4 linked regions of the Coturnix japonica genome follow. The protein of the gene in region 3 interacts with the protein of the main gene of each other region in a biochemical or structural test. Links are inferred from orthologs where the notes say so. Each region holds a gene or a part of one and is shown on either strand. Other genes may lie near its edges.

The links.
Region 1: the proteins of NRIP1 (region 3) and AHR form a complex in vitro, tested with the Homo sapiens proteins (2 studies listed by BioGRID). The link is inferred for Coturnix japonica from reciprocal best matches to the Homo sapiens genes NRIP1 and AHR.
Region 2: the proteins of NRIP1 (region 3) and ESR1 form a complex in vitro, tested with the Homo sapiens proteins (4 studies listed by BioGRID, with this or other methods). The link is inferred for Coturnix japonica from reciprocal best matches to the Homo sapiens genes NRIP1 and ESR1.
Region 4: the proteins of NRIP1 (region 3) and CTBP1 form a complex in vitro, tested with the Homo sapiens proteins (2 studies listed by BioGRID and IntAct). The link is inferred for Coturnix japonica from reciprocal best matches to the Homo sapiens genes NRIP1 and CTBP1.

What each region holds. Positions count from the first base shown.
Region 1 is NC_029517.1:26,399,088-26,403,740, reverse strand, and holds the start of AHR (aryl hydrocarbon receptor), read right to left. Parts: upstream 3,158-4,653; coding exon 3,102-3,157; intron 1-3,101. UniProt on the Homo sapiens protein: Ligand-activated transcription factor that enables cells to adapt to changing conditions by sensing compounds from the environment, diet, microbiome and cellular metabolism, and which plays important roles in development, immunity and cancer.
Region 2 is NC_029518.1:44,222,100-44,226,136, reverse strand, and holds part of ESR1 (estrogen receptor 1), read right to left. Parts: intron 2,035-4,037; coding exon 1,699-2,034; intron 1-1,698.
Region 3 is NC_029516.1:88,468,231-88,472,818, forward strand, and holds the start of NRIP1 (nuclear receptor-interacting protein 1), read right to left. Parts: upstream 2,965-4,588; 5' UTR 2,692-2,964; intron 2,676-2,691; exon of another isoform or gene 2,657-2,675; intron 2,161-2,656; exon of another isoform or gene 1,977-2,160; intron 1-1,976. UniProt on the Homo sapiens protein: Modulates transcriptional activation by steroid receptors such as NR3C1, NR3C2 and ESR1. Also modulates transcriptional repression by nuclear hormone receptors.
Region 4 is NC_029519.1:76,821,301-76,825,337, reverse strand, and holds part of CTBP1 (C-terminal-binding protein 1), read right to left. Parts: intron 1,290-4,037; coding exon 1,083-1,289; intron 1-1,082. UniProt on the Homo sapiens protein: Corepressor targeting diverse transcription regulators such as GLIS2 or BCL6. Has dehydrogenase activity. Involved in controlling the equilibrium between tubular and stacked structures in the Golgi complex.

The sequences.
Region 1 (4,653 bases), on a different chromosome or scaffold from region 3:
TTCTGAAATCACTATGCCTTAATATATACTCTTAATTAAGGATCAACCAGCCAAATGTTTTTCTCTGGAATATTTAGTATCATGAATACATTTATGCTAACATGGAACAAAAGTGTATCATTTCTTATTTAGTCTGCTTTTTCAAGAAACATGCTGTTACGCTTTGTGTGCCTGCACAGTATGAAACATTTAGATCCCCCCCACCCCATTCCATGTCTATTACATTCATTCCGTTATGCAAAACAATTCCTACCCAAACACTGAAAAAAGAGAAAAACAAAGCAAATCACAGCAGGACTGAGCGAGGAGGCAGAAAAGCATAAGAAGCTAAAGACAGCAAGGTGAAACAACAGATATATAACATCTTTCACTTGATGTTAGGATCTATCTCCAGTAAACTTCAATAAAACAATGCATTTTATCCTACCAGCATGTAAAGTCGACAGTTCAGTTAATAATCAGTAGAGAAAAGGCACAGAAGACCTTAAAAAGAAAACAGAACAATTGAAAGAGAATTCAAAGCAGGGTCCATGAAGTGCGGCCACCAGGGGGACCCGCACGGCTCCACCACACGTGGGAGGGAATCTGCAGAAGGCTCCGAGGTTCTAAGAAAGCTACATTTCACTAGAATGCACGTTGTCTATCAGACTGTTGTTTTATTTCCCCTCCAGATGACAAGATAACAAGATGAAATGCAGGAACAGTTGCCTCTTAAGTTTTTCCATTACTGCGTTTTCTTTTCTGCTGTGATATGGTGACTGCCTACTGGATCAAAACAACACATTTCTGTCAGGTAATTCCCTGTCGAATCCAGTCCTTTACATGGCCCATAAAGATAGGGTGGCTGCAGGGGGAAGCTTCCTATATCGGCTCTGAGTACTGCCATGACTTAAAGTTATTTGCACCTGAAGCAGGAAGTAGTTCTTCATTTGTTTTAACCCACGAGCAGAATGGCATTGCATGAGCAGCTTCTTCCACTCCTACACACAGGCTGCCCACTGCTACAGACTAACAACAACCAGGCTCCCTTCACAGCTACATCTACAGCAAAGGAAACGTTAAAAAGAAGAAACCTCTTCAGAAAAGGTGCTACTCCCAGCAAACATCACTTCTTTCATTTTAAAATCCTCTTTGAAGAGCTCTGGATTCTACTGGGAGCACAAAATACCCACTTCAAACAAACTCAAATCATGGCAGTGCCACACTGTGGGGCTAGGAGAAGTGTTGGAACTGTTTCCTCCTTCCCCCCAGCCAGATACAGGAGCTTATGGCCTCTCCCCCTACGTTTTAGCCCACTGAATGCTCTGTAATTAGCTATGTGAGAAATCAGAGCCTTCCTACCACCCTCAGTGCTCTGTAAGGTTGGTCTAACAGCACAAGCAACCAAGATCCACAAACACTAGGAAAAGAAAAGGGAGAAAAAGGAATAGATGCAAGATAAATTCAGAATAATTTCTGCTAACTCCAACAAGACTGGCTAATAATCATGCCTCCTCTTATAAATACAGGTGAACAAGCTAATTCAAGTAGTTCTATGTGAAGAAGACACATTTATCTGTCCATTTTGTATCAAAGGGCAAAATCCCAAATCAATAGTCCATTTCCATTAGTAATAAAAACAAGCTCTGAGTTAAACTAATACAATAAGCACGACCACCAAATATAAGAAAACAGATAACGGAAAGAGATTACTGTCATAGATAAAACAGTAATACAAAAAGGAAAGTTTCACATCCTCTAATCAAGACCAAGAATGTAATAGCCAGCCAGACATTAAGCGATGCGACCAAAAAGGCAGAACAGCTCACCCTTATGCAATTACAAGAATTACTTGCCCTCAGCAACCAACAGTTTGACAAATACTACTGATGCATTTCTACTTCACAAAGAGACAACACTAATTTCATTGTTAAAACCCAGACCTATAGAAAAGACTGATTCACTGCTCCTACATTATTGTTTGGAAATGAGTAATCTAAAAAAGCAAACACTGCTCTTCTCGTAATGACTCTATCTTCTAGCCAGAACTGTTTTTAAAAGGGTATGTTTAGACTTTTTTGCATTAATTTGTAGACTGGCTGTGTGTGTGCACTCATTCCCATAGCTCCAGCCGTACAGAAGTGAGCACCCAAGCTGACTTTGCTCCCACCATGCAGTTGTCTGCTATCAATCTGAGAACATACATTAACACTGGGATATTCTTAAATATTTGTCATTATCTTTAATGCTTTTGGAGTTTAGGTGATTAATGTACTACTTCAAGACCACTCAGAAATACAGTGGGATTTTTTGAGCTCTGCATCACAGGTAATTTTGGTAGCAGCTCCGAGTTCAGCTCCACCACTGCCTACAACTGACTTCTTAGTCGACAGTGTGGGTTAAACTTCTCTGTCCTGAAAATCACATGAGATGAGGTTTGCAGCTCAGCCCGCAAAACCGAGAGCTAAAATCTACCACAGGTGTACAATACAAAAGCACTCAGACGCTAAGCTGCACCCCAAGTTTAAAAATAACACGACAAACATTTGTTTTCTGGCCTCCTTGGAGCAATCCGCAGCACCCGCAGTTGCTCGGAGTGGAACCACCACCACCACCTGATGTAGCACCGGGGGCAGCAGCCGGGCCAGCAGACCGAGGACAGCCCCGGACTGAGGACCGGACCGACAACCCCCCCGACACGCCGCCACCTGAGCGGGGCCGGGCCGCCCGCGCCGGGAGCTGTCACCTCAGGTGCCTCCCGATCTAGGTCAGCCGCCTCGAGCCGCCGCTCCCTGCTCCCACCTCCGCGCTCCGCCCGCCAGCCGCGAGGGGACCGCGGTTTAGATTTATTTTCATAAGAAATCCAAGAAAAATAGAAAATCTCGGGGCACCCCCGGGCACCAGAGAGAGGCGGGCCCGCAGCCCGCCCCGCACTGCCGAGCACCGCAGCCGGGAGCTGCATCGACACTCCGCGGCCGAGCCGGCGCCGGGAAGGGCGGGGGGGGGGGGGGGGAGTCCGCGCCGGGGCTGCCCCGTGCCGCGGTGCCCGGCCGGGACGGAGGGAGCAGGGGAGCCATCCCCGTCCCCGTCTCTTTCCCTCCCCGCCCCGCAGAGCCGCTTACATTTTCTGCACAGGTTTCCGCCGCTTGCGACTGGCGTAGGTGACATTGGGGTTCATCCTGCCGCGGCTCCAGCGCCCCGCACCGCCGGGGGCCGCCTCGCTGCCCGCCTCGCCCCGGCTGCCGGGAGGGGGCGAGTCCCGGCGGCGCCGCAGCTCCTGCCTCGCCCGCGGGCCCCGGCCCTGCCGCCCGCAGTAGCGCGCTCACAGCGGCGGCACCTCCCCTGGCCCGGCGAGGACGGAGGGAGGCGGAGGCGGCGCGGGGCGGGGATCCCAGGTGATCGGCGGCGGCGACACCCACTCCCCGCACGGCGCCTCCGCACGGCACAGGTGTGAGGGCGGCCGGGTCTCCGTAGCGCCGCTCGGACCCGCGTCTTCCTACCGAGTCCGCACAGACTCTCTGCCGGCCTCACCGTCTCCCAGCCCGTCTGCGAGCCGAGCGCCTGTCAGTGTGCGCGGCGCCCGGCCGGGCCTCCCCGCCCAGCCCAACCCAACCCCGCTCCTCCCGCTGCCGCCACCGCGCTGCCGGCCCGGGCCCGCCCCGCAGCCTGACAGCGCCGCCGCCCCGCGCCGAGGAGGCCCCTTGCGGCGGCGGCGCGGAGGGAGGAGGGGGCGGCCGCGCCGCCATGTTGGGGAGGTCAGGCGAGGGGACGGCGGCGGAGCGCCGCGGGCAGCGGGGGATTGAGCTGGGCTGGGGAACGGGAACGAGAGGCTGCCCCCGCCTTGTGCGGCCCCGAGGCTGCAAAGATGCAAAGCAGGCTGCCTCCCAAAGCGGGCTGGGAGCCGGCCCCGGGCAGCGGCCGAGTCGGGGAAGAGGTGGAAGCGCGGCCGCACCAAGCGCAGGGACCGCGGGGCGCTCCGGGCAACGCTGCGGTTCCCTGAGCTCCAGGGGAGAGGAAGGGGGCACGGGATGCGGCCAGTGCCTCGTGCGGGGATAAGGTGGCGAGTTACGGCGCTGACGTGTGAAATGAACACTGATGTTGCAGAAAAGGAGCAATGTGGCAAAAAGCACAAGGTGCTGCCACGCTGCCGACACGCAGAACCGCCGGAGGAGCCCCTTCGTGCCTTTGTGACCCGCCGCTGCTTCGCCCTCCTGTTTTCTTCCTCCGTTTCCTCTCACAAGAACAGAGCTCTTCCCCCGGAATAACGGCAATAAATTTTCTCTCCGCACTCAGCTTGGGAGACGGGGAGTCGCCCTGTATAAACACGGCCGTGAGCGGCGGTGCCTGCGGGAGAGCCTGGCTGAGAGCTCCCGGAGCTGGCAGGGCTCTTCCCGGCTCTCCGGAGCCCGCAGGCTCTTACCCACGTGCCGCCTGGCAGCCGGGCTGCGGGCTTCAGCCTTCCCTCGCTCTCCCTGCTTGGCTGCGAGGAGGCTGAGGCAGTGTCCTTGGTGCTGGCTTGCTCCTGTCTGCCGACGCTGGCCGGGCTGCGGGAGTTCAATCGGCAGCCACGCTTTCCTTCGCCGGCTGTTGAAACCAATGCTGTGGTTATGCAAGTGTTCCGGCTCCGCTTTGCTGACAGTGTTTGTCAGCCGTGGCCCAGGTATTGCCGTACGG
Region 2 (4,037 bases), on a different chromosome or scaffold from region 3:
TGTGCATACACACAGTCTTAGTTCCCCTCTAGGAGCTATTCTGGCACTTAACAGGCAAATAAAATACTTTGGATGTATATAAATTGTTGATAAACTTATACATTCAGAAGTTTCTTGGAAAACAAAGAATGCATTTGATAAAGTAAGCTGAGTTTTGATCTTTAGTGGATGTAATCATTTTGTGACACGTAGTTTTATGAGATCTCCGAACAAAAAATAGATCTAAGTTCCCTAACCCTATTGTTATAATTTGATTAATTACATTAACTATCCAAATAAAATATCACAGAATACAAATGATTTCAGTTGGAAAACATATTGAATTTAAATTGTAGCATATTCACATTCAGTGTAAATCAATAGTTTGTAACAGAGTTAGATTAATTATGTCTCTAAAATCAGGAGAAATATTATTTGAATTTAGCTGGTTTTCTATCGTAGAGCTTTAACACTGTGGACATATGTTTATCTTTCAAAAGTATTTTATAAAGACATGATCCAAAGCACACCAAATTAACACGAGAACTTGTTCTTGAACTGAACAGGCTGTAAATAAGACCTTAAACACTGCAGCTTTATGAAAACAAAAATGAAAATCTCAGGTGATTTTTTATAATATGAGAAATGGAACACTCACAGGTTCTCATTGATCATAGCTGGAGTCCACAGAGTGACATGTGAAAAGTGCTAAGAAGGGAACCCATGAGGACTGGAAAAGACTCAGATTTTATGGGTTAGTGATTTTCCAGAAAGAGTCTTGCCAAGTTTAAATGAAGAAAACTAAAAAAATGGCATAACTCATGCAATGAGTTGAGGTCATGCACTCTGTAATGGTAAGTGAGAGATGCGGAAGTGTTCCCTAATATTCCTTTATAAAACAGCTACAGTAAAAATTCAAGAGATCAGAATTCCAGTGAACTTTAAAGTATATATTACTGAGTATGTGTGTATGTGTAGCAAAATTACATATAATATGTGCAATAAATTTTTAATACATACTAAAATGTTAATTTCTGAAGTGGAACATTGTAGACTAACATTTTAAAAGAAAAAAAAGCCTTAATTACCACACTGTCATCTCATTTCACTGATATTAATTAATTAAATTATGTGATGGAATGTGCATCATATATTCAACCAAAATGGTCTCACAATTCTAAAATTCCCTTCTAGAACTGAGGGGTTAAAGCTGAGAAACCAAGATGTAACAAAGAGATAAAGATAAAAACATTCCATTCCAATGGGAAAAAATATATATTCAGAAAATACTTTCTGTATGATTTTTCAGACAAAAAAAAAAAAAAAAAAAAAACAAACAAAAAAAAAAACACATGCAAAACGTCTAACTTATGGGTGAAAAGGTAAATTTACAAATAAATAATACTAATATTAATGGTCTTGTTGGAAATGCCAATGTAATGGCAGATATTTCAAAAAGTTTAGCAACCTTAATTCCAAAAGGTCTAGATAATGAATATAATTAGATCAAATAGACTAGATTAGACACTTTTATTATTCTACTTCAGCTTGAAGGTTTTGTTTTTGTTTAATTGGAAAACACTTCCTATTCCCAAAATTGTATAATATTTAATAGTGCAAGTAAGACAGAATTAATGTACTTGTTTTATATATTGAAGGGCTTCTCAGATTTTTTTCATGTTGAGCTTTTTGTAGTCTGCTGGGGCTTTCTTTCCTTACCTGGAACTCTCTTTGCCCAGTTGATCATGTGCACTAATTCTCTGTCTGCAAGGTTGGTCAACAGGGTCATCATAGATGCTTCGTTGAATGGTCTATTGGGGTCATATTCAGAGTAAACTATGGGTGGCTCAGCTTCCAGCAAGGCACTGACCATCTGTTCTGCTGTCAGAGACAGGGCTGGACTGTTCTTCTTGTTATGTTTAACCACTAGTGGACTTGTCCAAAGGGTGGGAGCTCGCAGCTCTGTAGAAGAAGCCTCCCCGTTCCTGGACTCCTGCTCCTCTCTTTGACGTTTCTGTTTCATCATTCGCCCGCCTCTGCGGTCTTTCCGGATTCCTAGAGACATACAAGAATATAATGAACTCCTTTCCTTGAACACAGGCATTACATAAATTTGGCCTCAGCCAACCAGGAGCTGCTGTTCATAGGCCAGTGGAGCATTTACTCCTGGTTTATTGTCAAGGATTCTTCCTATATGTAGAATCTTACATGAGCAGTTGGAGAGAAAAAGTATTTTTAAAAGTATAGTATCAGAAATAGTGACAAAAGGCAGTAACTGGAAATAAATAAATATTTTTTACAGCACAAACCTTAATGTCATGTCCTAACCTCTAGTATGTAACTATCCAACAATTGATCAATAGCAGCTTCATGACCTGAGCAGGCTACATGTATAGCAGTAACAACTCTCAAAAAAAAATCTTTCCTCAACTTTCCCAATTCTAACTAAACACCAAACCATTACTATGGAGTGTGTGATCTTCCTAGTTAGGTAAGAAACACACAGAAAAGATACCATCATAAGATGGCCTTATACAGCATTAAGGATTGTTGTACAACCAGATAAACAGAAAAAAAAGGGAAGATAATTTCTGCCTCAAATCTAGTGTGGGTGACCTACTGTCAAAAGTCAGTAACAACTGGAACAGAAATTATCTTTGTCATTATTGCACATTTCTGCAATGTGCTTAGTTCCGAATGACCCTGGACCTTTGGAAGTTATCAAGTCTGCCATACTAATTAAAACAACAACACTAAGCCCTTACAGTAGAATAAAATCTCCTTTGTGGAAAGGTCATGAACAAATTGTAATGATAAAGTCCAAGTGTACTCCAATCATAAAGGGAGAATAAATGCTAGCTCTGAGTGGAGGAGGCACAGCTATTTTGAGAGAAGGGAAGGGATGTGAAGGGAAGGGAAGTGAATGGAAGAGAAGGAAAAGAGGAGGGGAGGGAAGGGGAAGAGAAGGGGAGGGGAGGAAAACTTTGAAATCTACTGGCCCTTAAAATAAATGAACATGGATCTTTCTGGTGGGTGGGGGGGGAGAAAAGACAATCTTTAATCAGCTTTTTTTCACACCACAAACTATATAATCTATTAGGCTTCCAATTTTTTGTTTGTTTGTTTGTTTGTTTCTCAAATCCAGTATTTCTTCATATAATTTCTTCTTCGGATTAATGGCTTTTAGATCCTACCAGCAGGTGCCCTCTTCCAATGGTAAAGACAGCATCTATAGATCAGTATGCCTCTTTCATGATATGTGATATGTTAAATGAATTTGTACTTGAAAATTAATCTCTTTAAGTCTAATTCTTTCAAGACCTAGCAGGCCTTCTGAATCTATCTATAAATCTTTCCATATACAGCAAGTTCCATAAATCTTTCATCACCCTTACTACTTAACCTCTCTACATTTTCCCATTAGTTAAACTAGCTGTAAGCCAAAAGTCTGAAGTGCATTCCTGTTCTCATTTTTCATTCAGTAATACCTACTACCACTAAATTATTTCTGTTTAGAAGATGAGGGAGATTCTTGCTATTAGGAAAAAAATAAAAGGCTTATTTTGGAACAATGCCATCCTGGAGTTAGTCTCATTGATAGCTTGCTTCATCAGACTACTCAGTATTCACGGACTACTCAGTATTATGCATGCTCTTCTGCAACAAATATATTTGGAAGTATGCTTTATTTCACTGTAATGTTTTTGAATTAAAATTACCCTTTGAAACACAAATAAATAATCATGTAACAAAAACCACATGGTTCATACACACTAAACATTTGCTAACTTTCCCACATTCCAAATTCTACAGCTGCTCATGCAACCATTTCCCTTTGAAGAGTTAAAAGTATTCTTGGAGTCTCTACTGTGCAACATACACAAAAATAGATGGCCTTAGAATGGACATAATTCAGAAACATTATCTTGGGGTTATAATAATGCTATAAAAGCATCAGATAAGTTAGTTTAGAAAGTAAATAAAATGCAAGAAGTTACCAAGAGAGGAAGAGAGAACAAAGCATCTACATAAATCAGATTATATTAACCCATGAGGCA
Region 3 (4,588 bases):
TCAGTGCTCTCGTCAGTATCTCTCTGCATTCCTTGTATGTTCTCATCCAGAAATGAAAGCACAAACCAATTGATTTTAAGGTTCAGGCCAGTCCGTAAGAGCTATTCTAAAATTAACGAGACATTACAGTCTTAGAGCCCTCTCCATGATAGCCCTGCAATGAGGTGTGGAGCACAAGGGTTGAGTAAGGCAGCTGACTGTGGGAAATGTAACTCCCCAGCTTTGCCCTGGGCAAGTTTATACATGTGCTCCACACAATGCGAGGCATAGTTTATCTTTGAGTGTGTCCTGCACTGTCACCAGTAAAATTAACAGTGCTCTCATGGCTAACAATAATACAGCTGGCACTGCAGAAACCTTTTGCCAACGTTCAAATACAGGGAAAAAGAAAAAGGAGAAAAAAAAAGTGAGCTATAAGCTTTAACACAAGTAAACAAGCTTTTACCAATGAATTAAAAAACAGCCCAATGTTAAATAACAGCTACAAGCAAATACCTACCAGTAGGCTAACCCACATCTGAGTTCTACAACCTTTAGTGAATCAGTTTTAAAAATATAAAGTCTTTAATGTCTTTCACATTACAGAACTCATCCTACGTACAGCAGACTACTGACCATCAAGGTGATACCACCAACCCTTATCAATCACCTGTTTACAATTAAAAAATATCAGTTCGCTTTCAATTCTTTATGAATGTATTTTCTATGACTATAATAAACGTTGGTCATTTCTGCTCTCCAGCTGCGTTTAGTGTATCTGTGGCTTTAGAAGCAGAAACGTGGAGCAAAGAGGAAGGCGTGTCTCATTTGATATTTTTTTATCCCATATCTACTTGGAAGGGGGAGGAAGGGGACACACACTTAAGTTATTTAAGTAAATAATAATAATGCAGCACGGTTTGGCATTTGACAGCTCCTTTACTCTGTGCACACATGGTAAACAAAAAAGCCACTGCCGGGATCCCCCTGGTTAGATCACTAAGAGCTACAGGCAGGGCAGTCCAACAGGAGGCCAGCTTCCAGCCCTGCCTAAAACACACAGCTAAGGGTAACAAGTGCCTACTTGTTAGTTCTTCCTTCCTGCTGACAAAAACATACACCCATCCATCTACAGATTTAAAGCACACACACAAAAAAAAGCCACCAGCTGCTTTATTCTGGAGGCTATCTCAGGCCATACGAGTGCTGATAACGCAACAGGGCAGACTTCCTCAGCCACAAGCTCAGGAAGACAGCTGTCCCAGCAGCAAGAGCCAGAGCCCTGCTCGAACGCAGCTCTGACTGCGAACTCCTGCTCTCCGAGCGCCTGCTCCTGCTGCCCGCGGAGCAGCAATTACTCAGATGCCATCGGATCAGCTCTAAGCCACAAGCGCTCCCAGCCGGGTGAGCCCGTACCACGGGGCCTCTGGATGTGCCACCGGGCAGCGATCAGCCGGGCCCGTGGCAGCGCTCCTCAGGTCGGTGTGGGTCTGCTGCTCCCCTCGGAACGCCCCAGCTCTCCAAGGAGTCTCCCTGCGTCTCGCAGACCACATCTGCCCTCTCCGTTAAACGGAGCGGTACAGCACCTCTAAACACGCACCGTGCCATGACTCAGTTAAATTCCACTCAGCGGCAGTGAGCACCCAGCGCTGCGCCCAGCTCCCTCCGAAGGAAGCCCAGGGCAGCCCGGCTCCTGGATTGCAGACAGATGAGGCAGAAGAGAACAACTTCCACGTCACCTTCTCCAACATCACCGCACCGCCAAAGACGGGAATCGCGCTGCTTCATTAATATTATTTTCCCTTCCAACATCTTCAACACGTGTCAAGCATTTTAGCTTAACTCTTCTTAAAATTAAGAGCCTATAATAAACAGACATGCGGCACAGACACAAGGCTGCGTGCACTGAGGAAGCTTCCTCTTATTCCGTCCACGCTCCGACACCACGTTTCCCCAGCTTTCGCTCCGTTCCAAGTTAATTACCCGCTGACACTTACACAGAGCAGCCTCCGACAGCGCGTTCCGCAGGGAGAAATCACCTTTTAAAGGGCTTCGGGGACAACAACACACGCCCGCACAGTAACCTTTGGTCTGGAAGGGGAACGGCGACGTCCCCGCGGGGCCGCGAGAGCGCCGGCGCTGAGCACGCAGCCCCGTGGCGGCGGGCAGGGAGCTGCGCGCCCGCAGGTGGAGGTGGAGCGAGCAGCGGCCGTACCGGGGCAGCGGGGGCCGGGAGGCGGCGGCCATCGGGAGGGCGGGCAGCGAGGCCGCGTCCCGGCGCTGCCCCGGGCGGCGCCTCCCGACCCCTCGGGCGCTGCGCGGCCGGCTGCGACTCCCGAAATAATCCACGCCGAGGGGAGAAGGAGCGGAGAGCGGCGCTGCGGCCGGCCCCGCGCTAAACGCCGCTAACTTTTCCGCCCCTCCGGCTCGCCGAGCCCCGCGGCCGGGTAACTTCCAGCCCGCCCCACCGGAAGCGCTCCCCGCCGCGACCACCCCGCTCCCGGCTCACCCCGGCATTGTTCCCCGCCGCCGCCCGGCAGCGCAGCGCCGCGCCGCCCCGTCCCCGCCCGCCGCGCTCACCCGCCGGCCTCGCCTCACCGCGGACAGCGGGGCTCCGGCAGCGCGGACAGCGGCGGCTCCGAGCTCGGAGCCCCCCGTCCCCGACTATTAGACGCACCGAGCCTCCCCGCGCCCTCGCCCCGCAACACGTACACAGCGAGCCGAGCTCTGCGCCGCTCCCCTCCGCGATTCGGGGCTCTGCTGCAATGCCTGTGAGGCTGACTTTCAAAGCCTAACCCGCAGCCGCGATCTTCCCCGCCTTCCACCTCGCCCGGCGCGGCGCAGCCCGGCCCCTCCTCCTCCCTCCTCCCCCCTCGCCATTCATCTCCTCCGCCAAGTTCCTTAACCCTTCTCGCTCCCGGGCGCTGGGGCAGGCAGGTGGCCGTCAGCCGCCTTCCCGCTGCTGGGCCGCTCGTGAAGCCCCGGGAGCGAACTCACCGCAGGACCTATATTTAATAAAAAAAAGCTTCGAAATAACACCTTTTTTAATTTCTCTTCCCCACTCCCCCCACCCCCCTTGCTTGTTAAGCATAACGTGGGGAGGCTTCCTGTGGTTACCGCTTTAGAGCTTCTTTTTGCAGCCTTTCCACTGTAAAACTTTTTTTCCTCTCCTGCCCCCGGCCCCGCTGACCCCCGGCCTGGCCCTCGCAGCTCCGAGCACACACCTCAGCCCGCGGCCTGTGCATCTCCACTGCCAGGGGCTTCACGCAGATGGAAGCAGCCTCTCCTCTGCTGTCAGGTGTTGAGAATTGGGGTTGTGGCAGCCTATGAAAACATGGAGTGACCCACGCCCCAGTAAGTGAACAGGTCGTGAGAACAACCTGGGACAGGGCCTCCAAAGAGAACTAGTCCTCCATCTTGGCACAGGGCATCCACGCAGGACTGTGCTGTGAGAAAGTACCTTATGAGTCTGTTAGCAGTCAAGGTTTTCTGTAGACTCCGTTCCCATCAAAGAATAGTCGAAGAGTCAGTAGATCCACACCAGACTGTCTGTTTAGTCGAACTACAGAAAGTGCATGACCTCAGCCACGTCATCCATGGACAGAGCAGAGCCTGTGTTTAAAGAGAGCCGTGATGCTGTGTAAAGCATTTCTTAAACAGTGTGCAGAACTCTTTGTGACACTTCTCTTAGAAGTTAAGGATCGCAAGGAGAAACATTTGTTTACAAATCATTTATACGCTGCACGATGATATCTGTACTAACGTATGCCAATATTTTGGTTCTGAAACTCATGTAAAATAAGTGGCGTACCCAAGTGTGGTTTAGTAACAGGCTGATATCATGAAAGAACATACGAGTTTCTGCTTAAGGAAAGCAAAAGGGAGTCCTGTTTGTGAAAAGCCAAATGCTTGAGCTCACAGATACCACGGCTGAAGTGCACGTAGGAATGTGGAGAAAACCCCTTTTCCTTTGGAATGCGTGGATTGTGTATGCGCTTACAGCAGAGCTACTAATGTATTACTTGACCTATTTTTTTAAGCCAATGAAAGATTTAGGTTAACTTCATCATCATGTGTTTTTAACCACTTTTTTTCTTTTTTTCCAGAAAAGCAGCAGCGTTTGCTAAAGCTACTGTGTGTCACATTTTATACACAACGGCCTCTTTTTCTCTGGGAGAATGTCTCACCATATCACCAGACCATGCTGCCAGTAAAACAACTAGTTCTGCTGTTCCTTTCCACGGGAGCCTCATTAACAAATTCTGTTTGTAAAGAAATGATCTTTCATTTTTTATTCCTCTAAAAATCTTTATCTCAAAAAATGTTTCACTGTTAAGCAGCTGAATTATCAAGGGGAAAGGAAATTTTCTCATTACTGCAGCAATTTAGCTGCTATTTCAATCAAGAATGTCTGTAGTAGAGACCTCTTTCATTCTTAACCTTAGGGAACGTTGCACAGACGAGAGACCTACAAAAGGAGGCATCTTGAACAAGCAACAGAAAAAAAAAATGTCCGTGTGAAATATTGAAGATACTTTTGAGTAGATGAAATAAAGGTAGCTGAGGAATTAAGTTTCTATACGATTCAGTCAACTGTGGTTGTATTAAA
Region 4 (4,037 bases), on a different chromosome or scaffold from region 3:
CACTACAGGTGATTTATCTGCTATTTCTGTATAGGTGCTGTGACCATGATGACAATAACCACTCTGTGCTTAAATGAGGTGGATTAACACATGGATATAGATTTGAGAAAGACACTCCACGACCAACATCTTAAAGGCTGTATTTTAAAGGATGTTCCTTAACTATTAAGACTCCTTGCATGCTCATTCCAATGAATACTACATAACACAAAGCTACTTCCAAATTCCAGAGAGCTCATGGCCTGTGATATTTCAAAGTATAACTGGAACAGTCATTTAAATATAATGCCCCGTTGTCAAAACCGTATCATTAATCCCTGTGGATGAATACTATGGCAATTACATTCAGTGTCTGTGAGGTCTTTGATAAGACAGGTACACAACTAATTCTTATATAAAAACTGACTTGCATTTCTTTTCTGCTTCTATAACAGACAGTAATGAATTCATTTCAAGCAAGCTTGTCCATCTGTTAGATGCTGAAATACCTCTCTGAATGTCCCTAAATCTAACTAGGTGATTTTATTAGGTCTGGAAACATTTAAAACTTTCTTGCATATATTTTTTCCTCTCATTTGAACTGAAATACAAATTCAGACGTAGCCTGATCAAATGCAAGAAGTAACAGCTCTGCAGTTTGTTCCTGCAGCAAAGACCTCCCAGACATATCAAACACAAGAAACAGAAACAAGCACAAATAGACCCAGACATGACAATGCACAACAAATACACACGATAACTGGGTACAGGTAGCAGAATCCTTGTCCTGGAGAAGGGAAACAACGGTGCCTTTTCCCCTTACAACCAACATGCCTGGCAGTGGGCATTACAATAGCAGAAAGATGTACAGAAACTCAAAGAGTTCGAAGAATATCAGCTGCAAAAATTGTCTGATGGAAACTATGATGTCTATGGGGAAAATATCTCAGAAATATAAACACCAGGAATGAAGTGGTACTATACAGAATGTTTGGCATGGAACAGAGTGAAGCATACTGTCTCTATAGCTCAAATCTTTGGAAAGGAAGATTTAATTCCTTTGGACAGAAAAGAGTATTAAACTACATCACCACCAAACGTACCTAATCCAATAATGCCCAAGGTCTCCCCTCTGATCCTGGCAGCTCCAGAAGCCACTTCCCGAATCTGTTCAACGCTTTGTACTCTCGTGCCTTCCCGCAAGGCCTGGTGAAGCCAGGTGGTTCGTCTGTACAAGTTCAGAATGTGGCACATGGTAGAATCCGCTGTTTCTTCTACAGAGGCAGCTGGCACGTTACACACTGCAATCCCTGCAAAGAATGGGTGGAAAGGATAACAGGTTGCCAAACATTTCTTTCTTCTTCCCATTTAACAGCAATCCCTGAGTATGACGTTTACATTTACAGCTATTTCAATACCTATTTTGCACTAATACAATGTTCCTGACAGCAATGACAGGCAAACATTTGACAAACTAGTTAAGAAGTACAAGCAAACTTCCTTTTCTCATTTTTTTTTTCTTTTACTATTTACTGTTTCTCCACATTAAGGCAAACAACAAATGGACAACCGAAACCACAGAAGTAAGTATATAGAGGTCAGGTAGCTTAGTAACCAAATCAATATGTTAGTAAGTGCTTTATGTGCACAGTGGGTTCCGTGCTTTGAATAGCAGGAAGAAATACATGCTTTTCTTTCACCACAAAGTCAGTGAGGGTAAAGATCACTGTTTGCACTTCATTGTGTGAGTTAACTTTCTGCTACTGAGCAGACACCCTCCCAAAAGCTGTCTATGTGTTACAAAAAATAATTAACTTAAAATGAAAACCACTCTTATAAACCTTAATGAAATACTATTTCCAAGACATAAATAGGTTGTAATAACACAAGGAGGAACAATCTGTTTCCTGTTGCATAGGAGTTTGTAGAGGTGTCACACATAGAATCCAAGTCATTTCTTGGTCCCTCATATTAAAGAAAACTCATTTAAATTTCAATACTGAAATACGAAATCTGCTTCGGCATTGAACGCGAAGGTAACACTAAACTTCAGCTAATTTAAAAATGCATTTTCCTAATAATAGTTGAAAAAGCTGTAACATCAAGAAGCTGAAAGACTCCACAGGCTGTGCTGGAAGGAAAACTCATTCAAGACTCAAGGTACTCCATTTTTACTTAAAAAGAAACAAAAGAAAAGGCATTGATTGTAATGGAATGTAAGTCAGTTCATTCTGGTTTGGTTTTCTTTATTAGCTTTTACCTTCCAGTACTGAATATACAGCAGTGAAGCAAAATGTTTACTTGAAAAAGTTTGCATTCTGTCTTCATTCTTTCTATTTACTGCATGTTCATTCTCTAATCATCAGCTCTTATTAATGCTCCTCTCTTAATTCTGCTGACTGAGACCAAAACCAGCATAATTCCACGGTGGAGAAAAAAAAGTGTTCTGTATACTAATAAAAATAACCTTAATACTGTTTTCCCTGTCAAGCTGTTTGGGTTTTACATAAATAAATATTCAGTGAGCCTTCAGCTAATACCAGTATGTCTTGTGAAGCAAGAAAGGAAACCCAACATTCATTTCAATAAGACTAATGACAATAATCTGACAATAAATAAGCTTATATCTTATATATAAGCTTGCATGTTTGTCTGTTTTCCATTTAAATGCCTTCATTCTGCGGCCCAGTACTTCCTACCGCCAACATAAGGAAGCTCAGAACTACTTTTCTTTCCTCTGCTGTAGTGTGTGCTGAGTCACTGCTCTGTGGACTTACACAAAGATAAAACAGCATCACTATTAATGTTGGCATCCTGCTAACATCAATGGCAGTGCGAAACTCACCATATTTTAAAAATGAAAGAGAATGAATGCGGGAAAAAGTGGATGATTAAAATACAAAACCTCTTTAAGCGCATCATACTAAACAGCTGTGTTTGTTTAGGTCTTTCATGGAGCAAAAAAAAATGCAGGCTCTAGATTGCAAAATGAATTTAATAACCATGTCTCCTAAAAGCTGGCATCAATTATAAAAGATAATGCCTTAAAATGACCTTAAGAAGTTATACCGCATATGTGGGAAGAGATGCAAAGAAATTGAGCCTGCCTTATATTTTCCTCCCTAATACTTTAAGAATATGATAGTTTAACTCCTAAATTGTAGGAACACTTTCCCCCCCCATTTTCCCCTTCATTAAAAACAGCTGGCTTCAAAAAGGCCTGGTAAACCGTACAGGCAGTGTGGTAAAGACAATGCTCTGAAGAAAAGAGATGCTGCACATCAGAAAAGATAACGCACTCTTGTCCATTCCTTCTATGCTCCTTTCCCCAGTGCTTTGTTTTCAATGATCAATGTTTAATGTTGAAATACTTAGTAGGCAACAGGTGTTACCCTTGATTCACATTTCACTTGCATGTAGTTACATTTACAACCTGCATCTAATTTCTAGTCAACAACTAACAATCTGGAGCAAAACAGGCCAGATCATAAAGACGTCACCCGAGGAACATCTGTTTGCATGCATTTCAAGAAGTGGGAATGTGAAAACAACAGTGAAAAGCTGGTAACAACCTCATCATTATGCTCTCTGAAAATTACTCCAAAAGTTGCTATGAAATTTCAGGAGAATGTCAGACCTTACGGTCCAACTCTGTACTGTATTTCAAGACTGAATAAAACCCTTTTACAACTAACTCTCACGTTAATTCCTTGAGAAGCATATTCAACAAATGAAGAGATTTGTCCCAGGAGCAGTGAGTTAGATACTAACTCCAACCACTCTGCCCCAGTTACCAGGAGAGATTTTACATTGCAAGTCTTCCAGCATTTACTGGCTTTAGAAAGAGACAACTATATTTTGTAAATACTGGAATACACAAATGAGATGCATCTTAACTGCATAACTCAGTCTAATCACAACCTAAGGACTGAATTATTAGCATTGCATATGAATGAGAATTCCCCAAGTCTCCAATACTGCGGCTTGGAGAGTAATGTGAATGCATATAAATTGTAAGTTTTACTTACCATTCAGCACGTAGACCTGCCCAAGAGCCA